Caenorhabditis elegans: one gene and its partners. The protein of the gene in region 3 interacts with the protein of the main gene of each other region in a pairwise test. Each region holds a gene or a part of one and is shown on either strand. Other genes may lie near its edges. The genes, in order: arrd-24, fkh-7, dmd-6 and klu-1.

Region 1 (3,766 bases), on a different chromosome or scaffold from region 3:
GAGCACATTCTGGCAAAGCAAGGACGTAAAGCTCGTCGAATGCAAAGATCTGAATACAAACACGCAGAGGAAGACAATAAAGGTGTTCGCCAAAGACTTGCCGCCAAACTTGTGGCCAAGAAATCGGAAATTATTGAGCGTTTCTGCCTTGCTCAACGTACTGTCTTTGTTAAAGCAGATTGTCCAAATGTCTATGGCCGGACAACCACTCACATTTCCTATCTTTTAGAATAAGTTGCTGTCGTCGTTGCACTGTTATCTTGTTTCACTACTGCACAAAAAGTGGCTCACAAAAAAATCCTGTAAAATTGTCTATAAAAATTCACCGTCAATCTCGAATATCACTACTCCTCATATTATTTTCTGAAATGTTTTTTTTTAAACTTATCTGTTGATTGTAATAAACTTGTAATTTACAATTCATCCTTATAGTTTTTTGAATCTACCCTACCTTATTTTTTGCCAAATGAATATTTTTGAAACTCAATGTTTAGCAATAGAGAAAGAAAATTGATTGACTAATGTAAATGGCCAGAATTTTATTAATTCACAATTATACAAGAAAAAATAAAATAAAATACCCAATTAAATTTTAGTTACACACATTGATTCCTCATAAGACGGCGGTAGAGCGGATGTTCCCGCTGTATCATCGGTCGGAGCACTTGGAACCACAGTTGAATAGGCTGGAGGTTAGGAATCCAGCCGCTCAAGGACAGGTGGATCAGACGGAAAGGTAGTTACCGTTGGCTCCACGATCGATTCAGTTATTGGCACTGTGCCGATGATGATATCAAACTCGCAGTGCAATGTATTATTAAGGGTTGTTAAAGTGTCCAACCTCACAGAAAGACAATACTCAATGCTGATAATGGGACTTGTAAATGTTGGTGGCGACTTTGGGATTTTCATCCGCAGCATTTCACGGCCAGCGGTTTTTGGAGCAATTTTTATGCTTTTTCGAGCTTCTGCAATACGTTTGCTTTCATCCTTGTGATGTTCGTGGTAAGACGAATGAGTGCATAAGAGGCCATGGTTTTTGCTAGCATTGTAATGCGAGTGCTGATGAAGTTCAGCTCGCACAAACGTTGCTGCACGTTTGGAAGCATTGTCAATGTCGATTGTGATTGGCAGGTATTCTCCAGGAGCATATCCTGCTTTGGGGATAGTTACCTGAAAGCATTAAATAACCTATCAATGTAGCAGCGTTGTACTCACAGTTATTGTTACTATTCCTTTTTTAAATATTTGCCCAATGTCCTTCACATCCTTCATCATTCTAGGAACATTTCCCAACGGAAGATGATTCAAGTCAAAGTTGGGAATAACTGAAAAATAACTTTTTGCGCACATTAACAATTTTCGAAATACCTTTGAAGTCTTCCCTTTCGTTTTTGTTGAACTTCCATGGTCTGTCAAGCTCAACTCGCACGGAATAACGAACGTGGCCGTGGAAACCTTCAAAACTAGGTGGACATTCTATCGGGAGTGGAAATGCAAACGGGAAGACATGGTGGCCAGATGGAAGTTTTTCCTGTAACAATATTGTAGTTTGTTATCAGTTAAATGCATGAAACTAAATACTCAAGATCGTCTTTTGTACATTACACTTCCAATTTAAGACTTACAGTTCCATTTCTTGCACTCCATGCAATCGTTTCTCCAGAGACGTAGTCAACTTCTGCAGAGTAGTGCACAATTTCAGTATAACTTTCCTCTTTTCCTTCACAATTACTAAACTCTTGTATGTCATTAGGTCTAGATGTCTTGGAGCTTACGTTCTGTATCGTCGTTCCCCTTCACTCCACTTCGTATGCGCAGCACCGTGAATACAGATTTTCAAGAATCGGGCAGTGATTGGCTCGTTGGATCTCAAAACAACCTGCCCAGTAACAGTTTGACCTGGTGCATAACCTCTCGGGCTATCGAACACAATTCCAAAGTGATCCATATGTTCCATATCTAAACTAAAAAGATACAAGGAAATTTAGAATTTTAATTAAGGAAAATGTTGTATGATTATAAAATGAATGAAAACTGATAAAATGAAGTGGTTATCAAATAAATTGCCGTTTTATAATATATTGTGACTCAAAACGCGTAATCAGGAGGTAAAATGTCGTCATCAGTCTTATACCGTGCGTTATTTGATTTTTGTGAAATCATATTTATATTATAAAACGGCAATTTATTTGATAACCACTTCATTTTATCAGTTTTCATTCATTTTATAATCATACAACATTTTCCTTAATTAAAATTCTAAATTTCCTTGTATCTTTTTAGTTTAGATATGGAACATATGGATCACTTTGGAATTGTGTTCGATAGCCCGAGAGGTTATGCACCAGGTCAAACTGTTACTGGGCAGGTTGTTTTGAGATCCAACGAGCCAATCACTGCCCGATTCTTGAAAATCTGTTTTCACGGTGCTGCGCATACGAAGTGGAGTGAAGGGGAACGACGATACAGAACGTAAGCTCCAAGACATCTAGACCTAATGACATACAAGAGTTTAGTAATTGTGAAGGAAAAGAGGAAAGTTATACTGAAATTGTGCACTACTCTGCAGAAGTTGACTACGTCTCTGGAGAAACGATTGCATGGAGTGCAAGAAATGGAACTGTAAGTCTTAAATTGGAAGTGTAATGTACAAAAGACGATCTTGAGTATTTAGTTTCATGCCTTTAACTTCACAGAATATTTTACTCTCTGGCTTCACAGAATATTTTAATCTCTGGCTTCACCGTATATTTTACTCTCTGGCTTCACAGAATATTTTACTCTCTGGCTTCGCAGAATATTTTACTCTCTGGCTTCACCGTATATTTTACTCTCTGGCTTCACCGTATATTTTACTCTCTGGCTTCACAGAATATTTTACTCTCTGGCTTCGCAGAATATTTTACTCTCTGGCTTCACCGTATATTTTACTCTCTGGCTTCACAGAATATTTTACTCTCTGGCTTTACAGAATATTTTACTCCCTGGCTTCACACTTTTTTGAATTTGGTTTCGAAATTCTGAAAGAACACAAAATTTGCAACAAAATGGCTACAGGATTTTTGAAAAAGTTAGTTTGACGCCAGATTCTAATTTTTGAAAATTGGAAAATCTACTAATTTTGCATGGTCGTTTTTAGTCATTCTCAAACTGTGCACTAAAAGGTATGACTGAAAATCCACTTTTTCTGCTTGAACTCCGCTAGAGGAATTTCTGTATCCGAATTATTTTTTACAGGCATATACCTTGACGAAATTACAAAAAAAAATTTTTGGAATTTTGGGAGACTTGATATGGCCCTGAATAGAAAATTTTTTTCTAAGATTATTGGTAAAGTTCGGGACCTGGAAATTAAATTTAAGCCACGCTAGAGGGGTTTCTGTATCCGAATTATTTTTTACAGGCATATACCTTGACGAAATTACAAAAAAAAAATTTTGGAATTTTGGGAGACTTGATATGGCCCTGAATAGACAATTTTTTTCTAAGATTATTGGTAAAGTTCGGGAAATATACGGTGAAGCCAGAGAGTAAAATATACGGTGAAGCCCGAGAGTAAAAAATACGGTGAAGCCAGAGAGTAAATGTTATATATTTTGTAATAATAATAGAAGAGCTTTATTAGAAAGCAGAAGAGTGCAGTATGATAGAATAGTGAGGAATGATCGAATATGATAGATTCGATCAAGGAATGTACATGTGGATAATACGTGAAATAATAATAAGAGAGTTCGAGAGTTCATGTGCTTCTTATTGTCGAGTT
Region 2 (4,896 bases), 9.0 Mb from region 3:
AGGTATTATTGTAAATTTTTTTGAGTCCTCATGTTTCACATTCATCTTAAAATATTTTCGACGTCGGCGAATAAAAATGATCAGGTCTATCAGGTCTAAAAATGATCAGTTCTATCAAAGTTCTATCAAATATTTTTGCTTTTGAAACAGTCTACTTCTGACCAAAAAAATAATATATTCACAGTTACAGGGTAATTGAAACTTTTCAATTTAAGTATTTTCAAAATATTTTACACTGTTTCAAAAGTGTTACAACATAGCTTGCATGCTTCGAGCACCCAGTCGAAAGTCGATGGTGCACAATAATTCATTATAATAAAAAAAATTGCGACGCCCGTTTTAGCATTTTGTCTTAAAAGTAAATTTGATTCTGAAACCTTCGTTTTTTCAGAACTGGTTGTTAATCATTTTTTAGTATTTTGAAATATTTTTCTGTTTCACTTATTTCTGTTAAACTGTATACAATCTTTCACATTGGTAAATTCATGATTCCGATAAATATACATAGTTAGGTTTTCAGAAAAGTTCAGATAAAAATAACTATCTGTAAATCTGTCGTAGTACTCCACGGATTCTATGTTTTTAGGCAAATACGCCTCCCTGCCTGCCTGCCGCAAGTTTACAGAATTTTGGTGTGGGTTCTAGTATTTTGTATTTATGAAAGTTTTAGGGGGATTCCTATATTTACATTTGTATTAATTTCTTGGAAGTTTCATAACATTTGCGAGAAATCTGTCAGCAGGATCGTTCAAGCCAAGCCGAAGTTAACTTACAGGAATATCGCCAATGGGACATTTGTTTAAAATTCTTCATGTGGTGCTAAAATGACCAATGTTCACTTTATGAACTAACCGTTTTGAAAAGTTTAACTTTTAAAAAATTCAAAAATTTTTTACTGTTTCTGAAATTTTTAAAATCTGAAAATTTATGGAGTTTTTTATTAGGATATTTGGGTAGGATAAACTATGTGTAATATTAAAAATCTCCACTGACATTACTCCATTTTCCATGTCAGGCGGGGTTTTTCGCCTACACGGAACCTTTTTCGATTGCTCATTCATTCCAGATGATGACGTGGCAACCAATGGCAGACAACTCACAGATCGTGCGCACCAAAAGAGTAGAGAGACACTGAGATCACGAGTTGTTTTTATTATTTTGTTATTCTTTTTTTTAGACACACACACACACACAGACTAGTGTGTGTGTGTGTGTGTTCCTCATCTCTCTCACTTTACCAGTCTGTTTTCGATGTTATTTTGGAGAAAAGTGTGTGGACGATGGCATTGAAAACTCGGGTGGATAGGAAATTGGAAAGAAAACACAAATACCCATAGAGAATTGGAAAGGGTATAAGTAAACAGAAATGACAACTACAGTAACCCTCCAGAGAGGGGGGCGGAGTGATAAGAAGGACAACAAACTAAATAGACGTTTTCTTGTTTTCTTGAAGGGATTTGAGCTCAACAAACTGGAAAAAAGAAAACACCGAAATAAGAATTCATGATTTGATATGGCTCCGCGAGCTGCTCCAGACAGCCTTTTAAAAACAGGTGCAAAAATCCTATTTTATATGATTGTGTATACGGACACCTAATATTAAGTTAGCATATGTTGCTTTGTGATCACAAAGTATCATGGGAACATGTTCGGAGTTACTGTACTTTTAAAAAAAGTGGTTTTTTGAGGAAGGATAATAATAGTTGCTCAAATTTGAGTGGAACAATATTTCTACCAGAAAAAAACTATTGTTGTTTCAAATTTGTAACAAATATAAACAAATATTCAATATTTTATTTTTCGGTTTTTTCTAATTTGTCAAGTATTTAAAGTCTGCATAATCAAAAATATCCGCTAAACATTTTTAAAACCCTCTGAAACAGTAAAAAACGATTCATCAAAAATTTGTCTAGACTCACTCCGAATATATATTGGGCCGGTAAAAAGCATGCAGTACTATTTTCGAATAGTGATAATTTTAAACGCATGGAAATTAAAAATTAAAAAAAAGTTTAAGCTACATAATTGAAAATTTTCACCATAAAATTTTTAGTTAAAAAAAAGTATGTTTCAAGATGTTTAGATAATTTCTCATGCTTTGCTATAAATGTTTCTGGTTCGTTTAAATTGAAATTTCAAAGTTAAAGTTAAATGAAAAAGTGCTGAAAAACATGATTCGTAATTTCAACGGAACATTAACTTCCAGACACACATATTCAGACATATGAAAGTTCAAAAAACTGAAGGAAAATATTATGATTTATGAGAGGTGCAATCGGAAATTTGCAGCATTTTTCTAGGAAGGCATGATAAGTTTGGATATGAACCACTCGAAGGAATTCTTAGAAATTTTGATTTTATTTTCTTTTTTTCTGGTTTGATGAATTTGAATCAAGAGATGTTTTGAAAAAAATAACCAAAGAAATGTTGATTTTTGAGGACTGAAAAGGCAAAGATGGAAAGATATTTGTGTAGAAAACAAGTGTGAGCAGTGAAAGAAATGAGTAAAACAGAATAAGAAAAACAACTTACATCGATCAAAAGTTTCGAAAGGCATGTCGGAACTGATGGTGAGTTCATGAGAGATTGATGCATTTGAAGAAATTGTTGAACTGTTTGAAGTGGATCAATTTTGAATTCATGATTTATTCCAGCTGGAAGATTTGATGCTGGACGGGGAAGGTACCCATAACCAGAAGTTCCAGCAGAATCAGATGATGATGGTCCTGCCAATCGCTTTAAATTCGAGTCACTACTAGTTTTATGAATTCCTCCAGATCTTAGTTCCGAAGCAATCAAAGGTCGAAAACTTCTTCGTAATCCTGATGGTTTCTGATGTAAACTCTTTGATTGCATTTCAATTTCCATTTTCATTTCTTCCATATCTTCTTCCTCTTCTTCATGAACAACGTCTATTTGCTCTTCGTCTTCTGCCAATAAATGATTATTTTGACTAGTTGGAGATGTAACTGTAGATGTTGAGGATAAATGTTGTGCTGGTGTCAGCGGTGGAGTTTGGATGTAAAATGGCATTTGATAGGGATTATTTGAGACGTCTGTAATATTTTGTGTAAGTATGCACAGTATGTCACATTTCAAGTTAGAACATGTTTAAGGTTCATAAGAAACATTTGAAACGGTAAATTTTCTTTTTTCGCAGTTTAATTTGTATTTGCAAGTTTAGATGTTCATTTTAACTGCTTGAAAATTAAAAAAAGAAGAAAATCGAATCAAATCAAAATTTTGTAAAGAATAGCTAAAATACCTACTGAATGAGTTTTATGAATAGTACTGTTGTCATATTTTGATGAGTTTAAAAAATAAAAAATTTAAACTTTTTTTTGAGCACATTGGAAAAATATCTGTCTACGGAATTAGTGGTCATTTTTCAGTTCAAAAAATTATTTACAGAAAATGTGTTAATTTGGAGATCCAAGTTCTGGGAAGTTTAGATGGAAAGTTAGACTTGGCAACAAGTTGAAAAATCGTTGTTAATTATTTCCCACAATTCAAATTAGGAACCCGAAACAGAAAATTTTTTTGTTCAATCTAGGTTTGTTTTCAATTTTCAATTTTAATTGTTTGAATAAAAAATAATCATTTTTAATTTCCCATATTTCGATTTTTAATAATATAAGTAATATTCATTGGCGTATATGAACATTCTAAAACATTATATTTTGTTAGTGTGATATCTTGTCGTTTTTCAAAATTTTTTAACTTCAATTCCAATAACGCAAAAATAGTGAATTCAAAGACTGTTTATGTTTACGACAATCTGATTTTTTACTAATTTAGAAATAAACCTCGCCAAATTTTTTTACTTTATTGATATTTAATTTGAACATTTTAGGAAATAGTCAGAAATTATTATTTTTGAAGAGAAAAATTATTGAAAAATAAAACAGAAACTAATTTAATGGACAAATGCCTCCATAGAAATTGTATAAAAAATTAAAAGAAAATTAAAAACAAAAATATTTATTCTGTTTCAACTTTGTTTGATTTTTTGAGGCAATCTTCAGTTTCAGTGATTTTACTTCAATATGTGGAATTTTTTCTATTTTTTTTTTCACGAAACCTGATCAATAACTTCTCATTGAAAGTTATTGTCATAAGATTTTAATCATAAAAGAATCATAAGGTCAAACGATTTTTAATCTATCATAAGATCTATTGATGCATCTGAAATTCAGAAACTTTGAATTTCCAGAATTTTCGCATTGATTTCACTATCGTTTTTCTTTTTTTTTAATTTTGATTATAGTCTCCCAAAAATTAACAGTCATTTTGAGAGACCTTATTCGGTCATAGACACAAATAATAAGGCGTGTGTGTTGTTTACGACGAAAGAAACATTATTTTACCGTTTCGACAGGTAGAATTATATCACATGAGGTCACTTGACTTTTTTAATTCGAAAGGGGAAAAAACTTTTTTGGAAAAGTTCTGAAATTTCGTGAGATTTTAAGATGAAGTAAAGGTTCGAAACTGGACATAGCAGATTAATTTCTGGTGGGAAAATTTTTTTTGTGGTGAAGTACTTTGGTAAAATTCCAGAAAAGTTCAGAGATCAAATTTTAGAAAATTCCAAAAAAAAAAAAAAATTAAAGATGGAGCAAAATGGCTGAGGATTTGTCCTATTCACTATAAATTTGAAAAAATAATGTTAAAAATTCTACTTTTAAAAACACAACTTTTCAATTGTGTTTTCCCTATTTGAACTCCATCCAAAATTAGAACTGCAAGACCAATCAACGCATCGCTCCGCCCACATTTCAGCCAATAAGACTTGGAAGACGCTGATTGGTTTGAAAGTGGGCGTGTCTGCTCATTGTGGAGAAAATTCAAATATTAAGATTTGGAAAAATTTTAAAATCGTGCCTCTAAATTGCA
Region 3 (7,876 bases):
TCTGATGCACACTTGGCCTTCCAAATATCATAGGACATGACTGTCATGTGCCCAAGTGAGCCACTTCGTCCTTCAAGACCATTAGCTGTGGGCATTGTGGAGTTGGAACGAGTGATAGGAGTCGTCTGAAATGGAATATAGTTGAGCATGAGATTGGAAATGAGCTCAAGAGTATGAGAAGATAAAGTAATAACAGGGCTCGCGCACCTGCTCCGCCTATTCTGACAAAATGTGAGCGCCGCTGCGTGAGGAGGGAGCCAGAGCAGCGTGCGAAGAGAGAGAGAGAGAGAGAGAGCGCATGCTTTGGAGCAGGAGCAGATTAAAAACCATAAGATCAGAATTTTCCCTCTCTCACTGGTTCTGTCGTCGACGTCTTCTTCTCATGCAGCTGTTAGGTCAAGGTGCGCGTGAGAGCTATGAGCAGACTAGAATATTTTCCTAAGAAACCGCGATTTCAGAGAAAGAAAGCCAGCTAGCTATTGACAGATGCCTTACACATATGAAGTGCAAAACAAGAGTCTAGTTTAGGTGGAGAATACTTACCGATGAGGTTCTCGTCTCCGAGTCCATGTCTGGTGTTGAAGTTTTTGAGCAGAATGAGGAACGGCGGGAGAAGCCTGAAAAGTTTCGAAATATTGAATTGGAACATATTGTGTGTGTGTATGTGTTGGAAAAGAAGAAAATGGAAAGTGTTTCGCGTTTCACTGCAGAATGAGAAACAATAGAAAATCGAATGCATCTTTCTTTCTCTCGGGGGGCCCCGAGTGTGGGTATATAGGACAGGTACTAGGTGCCGGATAAAGATCAGTAGAGGGACACAAGGGTTCCGTACTTGGGAAAGGAGTCTCGCACTGGATAATGCCGCCGGCTTACGACGGAGTGAAATGGGAGACGAAACATGTTGAGAGAGAGAGAGGAAGAAGAAAGAGACGCGAATAGAAATTCGGTGATCTTTAAATCCTTCACTATTTGGTGCGACTGGTGTGTTGCTCACCTTTTTTACATTATTTTTTCATAGTCTGTGTACACTTACTCCCACTGATTCAGTCCTATTAGAAAAGAGAGAGAGAGAGAGAGAGAGAGAGAGAGAGAGAGAGAGAGAGAGAGAGAAATGAAAAAAAATGTATATGAAAGAGCAGCACACCAAAACACAGGGATCATACGTAATGTGAGCTAATGTGATTCACCATTTGCCTACGTCAACGCCATTTTGATGATTTCTAATCTCTATTCATTTATATGTAGACATCGAAAATTGAGAACAAGAAAAGTGACGGAAATCTGTTTACAGTCGAGCCGGCGGCTCCAGACACATACTTGGAATTTCTATTTCTGTTTGGCCAGCATACGCGCATACGTGCTCAATCTAACCATCGGTCAGCGGATATTCAAATGATAATTGCTATTATTTTGAACTGACACGAGATATGTGCCAACCGTCGTGAGTCATTGAGACACCAAAGCATAACTTTGTAGACAGATAAATTGAGTGGGAAAATTGTGAAAAATGAAAAGGAGAGAGAGAGAGAAAATAATTACGTATAATCAAATGCAAAAAGATCGTAGACGGGCTGCATAAGGGATCAAACCAGGGAGCTAAAACTCAAAACGGAAGACGTTCCAAGGAGTTTAGCTCAATTTTTTGAAGACAGAACCGAAATTATAATACATAAAAATGAAAATGAAGACTAGACGAAATGCCTGAAATATTCGCGAATAACAGAAGAGACAGTCGTCCTCGGGAGGCTGGGCACACAAACACATACACAGAAAAGTGATTGTGTACTGAAAATGTGAGCGCCTTTTCGTCATCCTCTCTGTGTGTGTGTGTGTGCCTTAAAATGTGAAAAAACGTGGAAAAACGAGAGGACGATGAGAACCGAGTAGACTAGTAGTTGCGAAAATCAGACAGGGCAAACGAGAAATAGTACAGATGTGATGAGAGTGTGCAGACGCAATGAGAAAGAGTGCAAGGTCCTGAAGCGACCGAAGAGAAGGGATGAAAGGGGGGGGGGGAGGAGGAGAAAGAGTTGCTGGAATGTACTAAAAACAAGTAGATGGCGAATGAGCAAAACAAAAAGGTCAGTGGAGGGTTCGAGTCGATCAGGACACACATTTTTGTATATATCAAGACGACGAAAACAAGATTCGTAGATTCGAGGGATGGAACTAGGAAATAGAATTTTCAGCGATCTAAGAACACTTGTTCTGAATATAGAATTTTGTTATTGCGGCGTTCCAAAAGTGCGACGAATTACACTGGAACGATCAGAAAGCGCAAGAATCAGGTGATTTTTGTAATGGTATAAAGGAAAAAAACTGATAACACTATCAAAAGATTAGTCTAGTACCGGTACCTACAGTCTACTTTTTTGCAAAAGTTGGGCAAATAGTTGCTTTGTTTTTGAAAAGTGAATGTCATGGGATCGAATTTTGTAGTAAACTCTTGAAATCAAAAGATCATGTCCTTTCCAAAATATCTAACAAATATGAAACATCATCGCAAACTCCAAAATAGTTTTGAAATAACACTTGATCTTTCAGTGGTTCTGCTGTCTACGTTGTTAGTCATACAGAGATTTTCGATCGCGTACGAGAAACGAACAAAACAACCGAGTACATTTTTGTGGAAATCTAGACGGAAGTTATGCATATTTGTGGGGGAACTAGGGAGTAAGCGCCAAAACACAACTGAGAAATCAGAGATCTATGGGTACTATATGGATTCTAATTTGATAGTGAAGGAGTAGGAGACAGAGATCAGGGAAAAGCTCACCTTCTTCATCGTCAACACTGGATCCGGATTCTGGAGCATGTCTCTTTGCATTCAGAGCTGCTGCCAACTCGATCTTTTCCTTATTTCTCTTGTTGAACGACTTCAGGCGCTTGTAGTTTAGCTTCTCGCACTAAAATTTGAAAATTTGAAAACAAAATAGCTCCCAGACTCTTCTAGAACTTACCGATTTGCAATTGCACAGAATATATGGGCACTGTGGTGAGTGATTCTTGAGGATCACCTTCTCGCCGTGTCCTTCGCACTTTCGGCAGTAAAGGATGCGTCCCTTTGGCTTTGGGGAGTCCATGTCTTGGGATGATGGAGAGTAGTTCTCGTTGCTGCGGTGATGATGATGATGATGCTCGTCGTCGATGGTTACAGTAGCGATGATGTGTGGGCTCATTTTACTGAAAGAATTGGGAATTTGAGATATGTACGGAAGGAGAGCAAAAGATTTTTCAAAGTAAGACTTCTTACGAACAGCGTGAAACAGGAATTCTTTTAATTTTTTAAGTTTAAAATATGTGTAAAAAACAGACCTCTAGAAACAGAAAATTGAAATATTAAAAAATTTCAATAAATTTTAAAAATTAGTGTTTCAAAACTTGAATATTCGTTGGCTAGTTATGATTTACATAATGAAGCTCCCGAAATTTCGAAAAAAATCTAATTGTCTTACTGAATTTAATGATTCACAGTAATTCTGCTAGATGCACACAGCAAATTGATGCAACATGATCACTGTATAAACTTGTGAAAATAATGAAACAGTAATTTTTCTTCAAGACATATATATTCCAAGAGTACTACAGTAATCCACAAGAGCTTAACCTTAGCTAACCTAAAATCATGAAGACTGATCAGGAATAGTGACAAAAATGGAGGAGGAGCTCCAAGGGTCAAAGCGGAAGTTACAAAGGGACCTACAAGAGAGTAAGAGAAAAAAATATGTAATTTCTTTTTTTTTTCCCATTCGAAAAAAAACACACTCGATGGGTGTGTGTTCCAGCTTCCTCGTTCCTATTTTTCCAGTCCCTAGTGGTTCAATAATCACATATGCGGGGAACACACACACACAGGGGGGTGTTCGAAGATCACTCGGGGTCTACTAGTCTGGGCTCGAAAAGCTCAAAAATTGGGTGAAAAACATGCTAACGCGAAGCAGCAGAGACACTGGAGAACACAACACAAATTGTGATCTAGAACACACACAGAGAGAAATAGATGACCAGGCGAACGGAGCACAAAACAGAAGAAGCAGAACACGGAAATGAGAGGATGGTTGTGCAAAATAAGTAGAAAATATCTAGAGGAAGTAAATTAAGACATTTTCAGACAAGGAAATAAGCGTTTAGATGGAGATAACTAGGTTACTGTAGATGATTTTTGAAAATTGGAATTCTTAATGAAAATTTACTGTTTCACAGAAAATGTTTAAGAGTTTTAAAACTGGAACTGTAATATTTATGTGATTCTATTAGTAATAAAAAAACTCACATCAGTAAAGGATTTGCAAAAATTTTAAAAATCGAAAAAAAGTTACTGTTTCACGGAAAATGTTTGATTATTTCAAAGTAGAGGCATACTACTTGTAGAACGACAGGAAAATTACGGTTTCAAATTTTGAAATTTAATAACACTTTCACTGTAAATTTTGTGAAATTTGGCATATGAATTTGATTACTGACTAAAAATAACAATTTACTCCTAATAAGAAATACAAATCAAAAATTATGTTGCGGTTATGTATACGTAAAAATTTAAAAACAGTGAAATTTTTCACTGTTTCAAAATATGCATTAAAAATGTTGTGGACTCTTTTTTTTTTGCTATTACCAACGAAGTAGGTTCATCATTTTTCAACAAAAAATATTTATGTAGATTTTTAAAATCTTATTAAAATTTTGAATTCGAATTTTTGAAATTTCAAATTTTGAAGAAAAAAATTACTGTTTCAAAATAAAAATATGAAAAGTTCACAAAGTTCAAAGTGCTTTCGACAGAATTTAAAAAATATAGAAATTAATACAAAACACATCAATTCCATAGGTACAAAGTTCCGTAAGTTCGGTTCTTTGTTGCTCCTCCTCTACTACACACGGCACACAGAAAATGAACATAAAATTGGGCGGTACAAAGTTTAGGCGGGGTGTGCAAATATTTGACCTACTCTCCACCTCCTCCCACTAACCGGGTTGAATGACTGAAGAGGTCGAAAAGTGTGTTTTTGATCACAAACTTTATCATCATCATTCTGTGACTTTTCCAGAGAAGAAAAATCTAGAAAAAGTCAAGAAAAATGATTCAAAAAAATAGGAAAAATAAGTGATCAAAAAACTGGAGTTGGGGGACCCGCAAAAACAGAGAACACAACCGCCAGACAAAACATTTCTTCTTTTTCTTCGTCTCTTTAAAGATCGCCGAGTAAATTGACAACAAAAAGCTCAAAGTTTCAGTGTTTTTCTCTTTGAAGCAGGAACAAAAATTTTCAGCTTCTTTTCAGCTGAAGCTCAAACTTTTTTAAAAGAAAAAGACATTGTGAAACAGAAAAGTTCCCATTTCTTGTAAGAAATGACTAACAAGTGACACGGCAAAAAGTGAAAGAACTGGCAAACACGTAGCCTTTGTAGTCTACAAAATGTGTCTACAAAATGTACAATAAGGTGAAACTTTTAAAGAAAGAATAGAGCAAACACTTAAAAAAAATGGAACTTTTTTCAAAATTTTGAAACAGTTGAAAATTTTTTAATCAGAATAGTTTAGTTTATTGGGACCAATACAGGGCGATATCATAGCAAAAACAAACATTTATTTGTGAATTTCAGAACTTTTTGAAACAGTAAAATATTTTTGAAACCAAAACTTTGTGGTTGTCAGCCAAGCTACAAGAAGCGACGAAAATTATTGCAATTTTCAAACTTAAGTTTTGTTTATAAAAAAAAACAATGCTCTCTGTGTAAATTTCAAAATGTTTTGAAACAGTTAATTTTTTCCAAAGTCCAAAATTTTGAATTTTTTCCGTTTCCTCCGCCACGTCATTTGCACTAATTTTGTGCTTCCGACTAACATTATACAAACATCTTCACCGGTTTTCCTAGACACCTCAAGTGGCTAAATATGTTTGCAACAAAAAAAACACGAACTTACCAATGACCAGCTCCACAAAATAATATTTTTTTTTGATTGTTGAGCCACACGAGCTCCAACCAAAAATGGCTTCTTTTTGATGATTTGGCAATGAAAGTGAGATGAAGTCTGAAAAAAGAGGAATTTCTTTAAAAATTTGCGGAGAAATTGTATAGTAAATTGGAAAGAGAGAAGCCAAAATTGTGATTTTTGAAAAAATTATGGAAAAGTTTTGCATACGAAATCTGTTTAATACGATTATTTTTCACGTGCGCAGAGGGAACCGAAAGATTAAAAGTATATATGGAGAGAAAACTGTCGGAAAATGTTGGACGAAGTTTAATCAGTGAGGTTTTGTTGAAAAGTTTAGAAGAAACATTTTTGAAACAGTGAAAAAAATTTCCAAAAAAAAAAGAGTACAATTAGAACCTGTAAATTGAAAATTTTAATCAGTGATTCTTAATGCAGAAATTCGATCACGTTTTCATCGAAAAAGCCAGTTTCCACGCAGCTTCAGATCCCAATCAAAAACGATCCAGAATGAAGTGAAGATGAGGAAATGCAATGGAAGGGAATAACGAGTGTATTAAACTAGACACAGTTCGTATTAAGGGCGTATGTAGGAGTTTCAAGGTAGAAAGAGGCCGAAGCACGGGAGATGAATATCTTGAGGGATTTTTTGGGAAGTTTCTTGACTGTAACAGGAAAAAAAAGAACCGAAGTTATTGAGAAATGAAAGTTGAAATTAGGAACATGCAATTTTGAAACAGTATTTTTTTTCCGAAAAGTTAAAATTGGTCAATTTTGGCGGGAACGGCAGTTCAACAGATTTAAATATATATTTTAGCGAAATTTATATTAACATTCCAAACAGGTAACAAATTGTGAAAAAAGTTTAGGTTTCTGGCTGTAACAGGAACAAGATGCGACCATTAATGAGAAATCAAGCTTGAACTTAGAAAAATGCGGAAAACAAATTTTTTTGGAAATTTTAGTTATTGCAACTGCACATAAAATTGTTATATTTTCCAGCGACATGGTTTATATTAAGATTCAGAACAGTTAAATAAATTGGAAATAAATTGGATTGAAAAATTGTCGAAAAAATCACCGTTTCCTTATAATAAATTTTAAAACAGTAATTTTTTTTTTTGGAAAACTTAAAATAAGATCGGATTTCGTTAATTTTTCAGTTAATTTCTCACCAACTACACTTACTACAAATACTGAATTCTTGAATGTACGTGTGAATAAAGGTTAGATCCGCCGAGTTAGATAAGAAAAACACGGTAAATGCAGAAATCCCACATTTGAACGGATTCTGCTGCTGGAGGTGGAGATATCGAGTCACAGAATGTTCATTGGGATCTTTCAGAACTACTACTAACACTTGAAACGGCGAGGAATTTTCATGGAATTTTTGAAACAGTGAAAAAAATTTCCAAATTTTAAAAATTTTTAAATTTTGACATTCAAACTTCGAAAGTTAAACTATTAATTTTTATTTCTTGATTTCAAGTTTTAAGATTTACTTCTTAAACTTCTATCCAGAAAATTGTTACTGCTACAAACTACGGCCTACGGATACTACGGATACTACGGAAATTACGGATATTCAATTGGAACTGATGTTACTCAAAAGATCCGTGATCGAGATACAGCCGGGCAGGCGGGGGGTCGCTATGATTTTTGTTGTTACTCTTATGCAAGTAAATTGCACTTTTCTGGCCCCACTAAGTAGCTCACGCTTTTGTAGAGATCAAACGCCCTCCCTGTAAAGGCGTCACATCTCGAAAAATACATGGAGGAAAAGCTGCTTGTGTTGAGATTATGATCAGAGAAAACGATGTTGAACAAGAGATCGCAGAATTTTTTGATTGGAACGAAATAGAATGAAAAACAACTGCGAGAAATATTTTTATAGAATTTGAAAAAAAAAATTGAAAAAAAATTACTGTTTCAAAATTATCACAA
Region 4 (7,705 bases), on a different chromosome or scaffold from region 3:
GCCGTGAATGCATACGCTTTCTCCGCAAAAATCACAAATCATCATGCGACACCTTCTTGACCGGAAAGTCAAGAATCCACCTGTTTTTATCAAGGCAAGAGTCACATACATAATCGGCTTGTCATGAGATCTGTCTTCAAAATGAGAAAGTTATTTCAATCAAGCTGATAGTGAGACATTTGGGATGAAGATCATCTTCTTCCCACATTCCCTGTATAATTTTTCATTTTATTTCAACTTTTTTCTGAGAAAAAATCTGAAGGTAAATCTGAAGGTTTGCTCTCTTGTTCTCGAACCCAAGCATAATTGAATTTTTAGATAACATGATCAACACCTCACCCTCCACTTTTTTAATAATATACCATTGATTTTCCGACATTATGAATTTCAAATGAAGTTCCACATTTGCCAAACTTCTGGAAATTTTAGTTAAAAATCCGTGCGTTTTGGTGAAAGATTTCGGTTTGCTTTATTTGTTTTCAGTATTTTTTCAGTATTTTTCAGAGATTTCAGTATACTGTTTTTTTTTAAAGTAGAATTTTTGAAAAAGTTAGTTCTAAAACACTTTTGTTGGTAGACCAAAAATTCTCAAAAATCATTTGTACTATTGATTTTTTGAACAAAAATAATGAAAATGTGTCTGAGCTAATTTTTAATTTCTAACAACACATTTGATTCTAATGCATTAAATTTGAAAACCCCAAAGTACTCAAAAATTTCTAAATAATTTGCTAGTATTTTTTTACTTTTCTTAGACACATTTGCATCATTTTTGATTAAAAATCAATAATTCTGAACAAAATATTTTTGAACGAGTTTTTTTCCAAATTTTTTATTTTTCTTACCTCAATTGAATTAATAACTAATCAAAATTCGCACATAGACCTTACATGAAAGCTGAAAAGAAGCGAGATCGGGCAGAAGCCAGAAAAATGGCACCGCGTTGGGTCGCTTCGGGAGGTAGATAATTTTTGTGGCTACCAACAAATGAAAAACCATAGTTGAACGCATGAATTCTCATAATTTCAAAAAAAATCGGAATGCAACAAAACAAGGTATGAAATTTTACCCAGAACTTATTGACTCCACCTAATACCACACTTTGTATAATGATACAGTAGATTTCTATGGGATTTAGAACTGAAATTTGAACATGAATCGCTAACATTTTCTCATTAAAAAAATACTATGGCAACCCTAAGTCACAGTGAGTAAGGCTCAGTGAGTGCCCTCAAAATTTAGAAAAGAAGTGATGGGTTGCGTGCAGGCCTCTGCTTTTTTTTGTTTATGCCGTTAAAATAAATGTATTGAGATTTTACGTACCTGCATAGATAAACAATATTATTTATCACTAACTTCACTGATCCCTAACTACGTAATCTAAGAAAATCCAAGTGATCGGTTAATCTATCGACCAAATCTATAAAATCGCAGATGAATCCCAGTTAAACCTTGGAAATTTTCGGTGAAGCCGATTTGCTCAAAACCTCCAGTTACGTAACCTTTTAAGCTTTTTTGATGGGCAGCAGCCATTCAAAATATTGTGAAGCTGTCACTTGTATATGTATATATATATATAAGGAAAGGTGGTAACCGAAATTATTTCTTTCGTCGTTTTACCAAATTAAAAAAATCTTAGAACTCCAAATTTGCCAAACCTTATTTTTAAAAAAAGGCACAAGGCAGTCGTACTAGGTAACTTGAAATGTAATTTTAATTTTATTCAATTTTTTTTTTAATTGCATTTAAATTGCGGAGTTCTAAGATTTGTCACAACTCTTGATTTTTTAATTCGGTGACATCATTTATCATGTTCCAATAATCAGAACACTTCTAAACCGATCCCCCTAGAAAGTTGTCTTCTACTAATTTCCGTCAGGGAGTTCTACCCGCCCGTTAGCCCATTTCCGGTGCACTTTTTTCGCATTTATTATACTTTCCTTGTGCCTTTCCCAACTTTAAAGTCGCAAATCAAAATAATGATTTAAAATTCCAGGTGGGATGAGCCAGAGTGATGAAGCATCTGTAGCAGAGCCTACAGTAGTAGTTGCGACACCAGTTGCAGTTGCAGTAACAGCCCCAGCAACACATCCACGGAAACCTCCGGCATTGGTGATCTCAACAATAGCGGTAAGGAGTGTTCCACATTGAACTTCCCAAGAGAATTTCTTGGTTTTCACCGAAAAAAAAACAAGAAGATTTTGGTCTTGTATAGTCGTATGCACACATCCTTTTTCTTTTCCTTTTTAACTCTATTTTTAGAATCTTTTCTTTATGGGCTTGGGAAAAAGAAGGAAAAAAGTGGGGGAGCAGGAAAAGAAGAAAAAACGAAACATATGGAGAATGGATGATGTATGATGTTTTCTGGCTATCATAATTTTGTAGTTGTAGTCAAAATGTGATGGATGACATTGAGAATGTGGGTGGATTACAGTTGGGAGGGCCTATTGGAATACAAATGTAGGTTTGAGTATCGAAAAAATACGAACGAAAGCTACGAATTTTGGAAACTGTTCACGAATACTTTTATTATTTTACGAAAAAAAAGCAAAGATACATTTGTTGGTCGAGTTTTAACTTTTTCTGGGTCACAACTATAAATAAGCTCCATATACGCTATTAAAACTATTCCGAAAGACAAAGTGCCGTAACCTAGCTAATATATTTTTTGTAACTAATGATCGTGTTTTCATGAAGTCACTTCAACATGAATATCATATGTTCAATAACTACCTTTGTGTCTGCTTGGCGCTTGTTTTTTGCTATTGTTTAATCAATCAATTTAAATAGGTTCACGTGGATTTTGGCAGCAGTGAACGTGCCAAAAGTTCGAAAACCGTGCGCGAAGCCTATCACCACTAGATTACTTTACTGCATTTTCTTCAAACAAAAAACTGTTTTTCTGAAAATCATAATATCATCACCCACGCCACCCGTATTGAAAAAAACCACAAATCCGATTAAGCATATAGTTCTTGAATTTACATAATTCCTCATTGACGTCATCAAAGGGTAAATGTTGATCTAATGGAATGAGGAGAGCAATGATAAAATGCAGGGGGGGGGGGGGTTGCAGTAGTGAATTTTTGTTTGGTTGGCGGGTGCATCTTATGGAGAAGTTTACTGCGCCATATCTGCATGTTTACCTGCAGCTAATTGTTGGCAACATCGATTTAGGTTATCTTTATATCATTTCTTACTTAAAAATGTCAACTTCGGGAGTAGACAGGCAACTATGTTGCAGCAGGTTTGGTTAAAGTGATAAAGTTGAAACACTAGAGTTCTAGATTTGTAGAAAATTTCGAATGTGCACCATCCTATCATGCAACTCGGTTTCCTGAGTCACAGACCATTTGAAAAGAAAAAAAAATAGAGTAAAGTATGAATAATAATTAGATGTCTCTCATTTTTTACTTTTCTGCTCACTTTTAGGTCATTTCTTTCCCCCCCCCCCCTTTTTTTGTCCCATTTTTACGCTCGATATATTTTTTCAATCTAGTAGTCAACAACAAGACCAACAAAAAAATAACGAACTGAAAAATTCGTCTTACTTCCGTTTTCCACTCCCTCGCAGTTTTTTATGCGTGTTTGTGTGGCTCGAATATGAAAACTCTAAATGAATATGAGGAAGAATGTGAAAAACTACAACAACGTTCGATCACCTTTCAGGTTAGTTGATAGGCTTACTAGTTTGTGATACCTAAATAGGTGATAATGTGACCAAATATTGTAATAACACTTTTTGAATTTCACAAATAACTTATAAATAGTCAAATTTTTCGAACGTTGACGATATTTTTTCCTACTGTTATGTTATACGTTTTATCGGAAACCCTTGTTAGGCATTGTTGTCGAAATATATATCACTACTAAACTTTTTCAAAAGACCAAAATCCAAGTACGTATTCGGACTTCCGAAGTTTTACATTTTGCCAAATTTGATCAATAAACTTAAAATACACTTTAGACTAGAAAACTGAAAAAAACCGAAATTTTAGGTTAGATGCACATGAATGAAATCAGTTGGCATTAGGTAGACATATTTCTCTTTTTGATAATTGCACAATTTTCAATTATATTTTTGCATGTATCAATTTACATAATTATACATTGTCTGCTAGTTTGAATTCTATCTATAGAAAAGGGTTTTTAATTAATCTATGAACCTGTTGTACTACTGGTCTTGGAATCTCGTGTGAATTCTGAAACCCTAGCACGCTAAGGGGAGCCAGAGGTTAAAAGTGTTTGAAGGAAGGATCAGATTTCACGTATGGAGGGGGTTAATGGGAATTTCCAAATAAGAAAAAAAAACGACTAGGAGGGGTCGAAACGGCATGAAATGAGCATTTTTCAGTGTCCGACAATATACGAGCAAGCTCCCTCAAAGCCAGCTTCACCAACAATGCCGCTCAGTCCATATGAAGGGATTACCGCAGATTTGATGCAACGTATTCAATTGGTAAGGGAACTAAAGTTTGTAAAAGAGAATTAAAGTCGCATTATCATCTCCAAAAGAAACTTTTAGACAATATCATAACAACAATAGCAGAAAGCTTAAGCTCAATTCATTTAGTTCTAACTGCTCTTTTTCGTAAACTCCCTGCTTCGCCCTGAAAATTGATTTCATGTTAAACTTAAAATTATAGGTGGCAAACCCCTTATTTCTAAAAATAAATCATAGGTGTGTATCTTTCTACCTCCACCCACAACTTTCAGTTTTCCTCTCAATTTGACCACGCCCGTCTATCGCCGAACTATGCGACATCAGACCTTGGATCGTCGGCACGGTCGAGCTTCTCCTCCACAACTTCGTCGTTCTTAACGTATCGCGATCGAAGTGTAGACTTTGACGAGGCTGGCAAAGAGTTGATATCGCCGTTTGATTGTGACACTAACTGCTCTGGAACTCCCTACTCCCTGTCGACCAACTCGGGAAATCACTTTTCGTAAGTTTTAAGTAGATATGGAAATTGGTGACAAATATGTTGAGTTAACAAGGGATCTGTAAAATTATCACTAATTATAGCCGCGTTGCAAACATGATTTGGCCCGGTTTTGGTCAGTATCCCACTGATGGTTATCTATTCTGCCGGCTGGAACTTAATTTTTATTTGATTATGAGAATCTCAATCAACGAAACAACACGTAATAAAATGCCAAAACATGCATTAAAAGATGATAATCAAATAAAAATTAAGTTCCAACCACTGCAACACCGAGAAGCTGCCAAGATTTGAGATTTTAGCTAAAAATAGGCCGTTTTTTCCAAAACTTTAAGCGGACATAACTTTCTTTGGAAAATTTTTGGAACGTCTCATTACGAAATTCCTGAGTTGATGCGGATATTTAAAGTTGATATATCTACAGGTTTGAAGCTCGCTCGGTGTCCTCGCTGGGCCACAGCACAGCCCACTTTAATCAATTGCTCGCGGCGGGTGCTGCATATGAACTATCCAGGTGACAATAATAACTCCGACTCCTGTTTTTAAAATTAAGTGTTATGCAGAGAGCGTAGCAGGTCAGAAAGCGATATGCAACCCACGCAGGAGGATGACGTGAGGCATCTTAACACATCGACTATCTCGGTGCCGATTTACGCTAAAAAACCGCTTCACAAGTTTGGCGGGGAGATCAAGCGGAGTAGTAGTACGCCACCACCGACGTCTGATGAGCGAGAGCAGGTGGAGCAGCGGTTGTTGTTGAGACCTTCGTCGGGAATGGAAATCAAGAAGGACTTGGAAACGGTATAGCACTCCACCTACATCTCAACATTGTCTATATTTCAGACCAATTCCTTTGTGAGCAGCTGGGCTCGAGAACAGATTTTTGCCATGCAGAATGCAACCATGTACAATTTGTTAACCGCTCGTTCTGCAGAAGATTGTTCAACTATTTCGACACCAGGACCTTTGAAAGTTTTCCCCAGAAGCAAAGATGACATGACGTTCGCACCGAGAGATGACTCAAGTCGTGCCAAGCAAATGCAGTACCCATGTACACTTTGTGGGCAGGTACACATTTGTCGAAATGGAGGACCCTACACAATTTTTTTCAGGCGTTTGCGGTACATGATCGATTAGCTAAGCATATAGCGTCTCGACATCGCCAGCGAAGTTGTACATTAGATGATGCTTCTAAAGTCCACAAATGCAACATGTGCTCAAAAAGCTTCTCGAGAAGTGATATGCTGACAAGGTATACAATTTTGATTAGACAAAACGACACATATTTTTTATTCAGGCACATGCGTCTTCACACGGGAGCAAAACCATACAGTTGTCCGACATGTAATCAAGTATTCTCTCGTTCTGACCATTTATCCACTCATCTGAGAACACATACAGGCGAAAAACCATACGCGTGTCCAATGTGTAATTATTCAGCGGTAAGTATGTTCAGATCATTCAAATCATTATGTTAGATTCCGCGTGCTTTGGAGTCTAGTTGATTTCCGTTTAAAACACACGTCCACTTTCCCAATCACAGCTTAACTTGGAACAGAACATAGTCCTATCTTCTGGCTGGTGTCGCGTTTAAGATTAAACATTTCTAATATTTGCTTCATGATCAAGATTTAAATACGTCTGAATCATTTTTCATCATGCGACGCTAACCAGACGTGAGATCTAAAGACTCTCGGTAAAATAATGTTGAACTGCTCGAATATACTCAGATTTTCAAAGTAAAAGTCAACACATAATATTTATAGAGCCGCCGCGACATGATCTCCCGTCACATGCGAACTCATTCACTGACAGATGACTCCAGTATCTCAACTCCAATATCTCAATTGTCAATCCGAAGTGCAACTACTTCACCACTACCACCAAAGATCGGGTCAACTGCAACCGTTGAAATTGGTTCTGGATTGTTGTCCGCATTCAAACCAATACTTTCCGCATCATCATCAAATCTTCTTTCCGTGTCTTCACCCTTCCAATCACTTTCTCTCTCAACACCACCATCTCCATCGTTCGCACCTATTGTACTCAATCGGCAGTTATCATTTGATGTTACGATGCGCAATACTACGTCTTGATACCTGTATCAGGTTCCTTCCGTTTTTTGCTCTATGAACAAAAGTAAATGAACAAAAAACTTTAAATTTCAATGACGGGTTTCGCCTCGATTACTGTAATTTTATTAATATTATATATAAATAAAAAATTTAATATATAGTTTTTGTTTCGCCAGAAGTTAAATTTTTGATGAAAAATTTTCTGAAGAAATTTCAGAAAAGTGTGTGGAAGCCATTGGCAAAATTTAAGAAGGTATACATTTTTCTTGCAGACATTAATAATGCATCCAGCCATTTTCGAGATATACTCAGTAATGGGCATACGGCAGAGAAAATTTGGTCAAGGTTGTAGTACCGTTTCGAAAGATTACTTTCAAAGTGGATAAAAATTATCGTGCTGTTCTGTTATAAAGTATTCTTATCACAAATTTAAAAGAAACTAGGAGCTCTTCTATTTTTCCGTTAATCTTTCTATCTATTCGAATCAAAAAAAAATTATTGAAAGATTAGACCGCCGGAGAAGTGAGAGAGAAGAAGTAATTAGTGAACGGAGGTATCGCTAGTCTTACTAAAATTACTCAAACTCTTGATCTATTCCGAACTTCACCTTATCAAATTTTAGCTCTTACCGAAACCTTCCTTGACGAATCAGTTCCGAACTCTTTATTCTCATCTCAAGACATCTCT

What was found.
Region 1: the proteins of dmd-6 (region 3) and arrd-24 interact in a two-hybrid assay, tested with the Caenorhabditis elegans proteins (one large-scale study listed by BioGRID).
Region 2: the proteins of dmd-6 (region 3) and fkh-7 interact in a two-hybrid assay, tested with the Caenorhabditis elegans proteins (one large-scale study listed by BioGRID).
Region 4: the proteins of dmd-6 (region 3) and klu-1 interact in a two-hybrid assay, tested with the Caenorhabditis elegans proteins (one large-scale study listed by BioGRID).

The regions. Positions count from the first base shown.
Region 1 is NC_003284.9:13,978,547-13,982,312, forward strand, and holds arrd-24 (Arrestin C-terminal-like domain-containing protein), read right to left. Parts: upstream 1,972-3,766; 5' UTR 1,961-1,971; coding exon 1,779-1,960; intron 1,735-1,778; coding exon 1,629-1,734; intron 1,535-1,628; coding exon 1,372-1,534; intron 1,329-1,371; coding exon 1,219-1,328; intron 1,174-1,218; coding exon 694-1,173; 3' UTR 523-693; downstream 1-522. Other genes in the region: F48F7.6 (Zf-C4pol domain-containing protein), read left to right, coding at 1-234.
Region 2 is NC_003282.8:5,582,821-5,587,716, reverse strand, and holds the start of fkh-7 (Fork-head domain-containing protein), read right to left. Parts: upstream 3,034-4,896; coding exon 2,533-3,033; intron 2,133-2,532; exon of another isoform or gene 2,111-2,132; intron 963-2,110; exon of another isoform or gene 941-962; intron 500-940; exon of another isoform or gene 479-499; intron 405-478; exon of another isoform or gene 384-404; intron 304-383; exon of another isoform or gene 283-303; intron 102-282; exon of another isoform or gene 78-101; intron 1-77.
Region 3 is NC_003282.8:14,614,758-14,622,633, reverse strand, and holds the start of dmd-6 (DM domain-containing protein), read right to left. Parts: upstream 6,032-7,876; 5' UTR 5,924-6,031; intron 5,571-5,923; exon of another isoform or gene 5,550-5,570; intron 5,465-5,549; exon of another isoform or gene 5,444-5,464; intron 5,279-5,443; exon of another isoform or gene 5,258-5,278; intron 4,628-5,257; exon of another isoform or gene 4,607-4,627; intron 4,501-4,606; exon of another isoform or gene 4,480-4,500; intron 4,387-4,479; exon of another isoform or gene 4,363-4,386; intron 4,259-4,362; exon of another isoform or gene 4,238-4,258; intron 3,501-4,237; exon of another isoform or gene 3,480-3,500; intron 3,437-3,479; exon of another isoform or gene 3,416-3,436; intron 3,223-3,415; exon of another isoform or gene 3,202-3,222; intron 3,184-3,201; 5' UTR 3,180-3,183; coding exon 2,961-3,179; intron 2,907-2,960; coding exon 2,777-2,906; intron 2,453-2,776; exon of another isoform or gene 2,432-2,452; intron 1,111-2,431; exon of another isoform or gene 1,054-1,110; intron 618-1,053; coding exon 544-617; intron 126-543; coding exon 1-125.
Region 4 is NC_003279.8:14,973,423-14,981,127, forward strand, and holds klu-1 (C2H2-type domain-containing protein), read left to right. Parts: upstream 1-1,996; 5' UTR 1,997-2,001; coding exon 2,002-2,130; intron 2,131-4,354; coding exon 4,355-4,459; intron 4,460-4,716; coding exon 4,717-4,946; intron 4,947-5,367; coding exon 5,368-5,457; intron 5,458-5,506; coding exon 5,507-5,744; intron 5,745-5,786; coding exon 5,787-6,011; intron 6,012-6,055; coding exon 6,056-6,195; intron 6,196-6,240; coding exon 6,241-6,385; intron 6,386-6,709; coding exon 6,710-7,039; 3' UTR 7,040-7,174; downstream 7,175-7,705.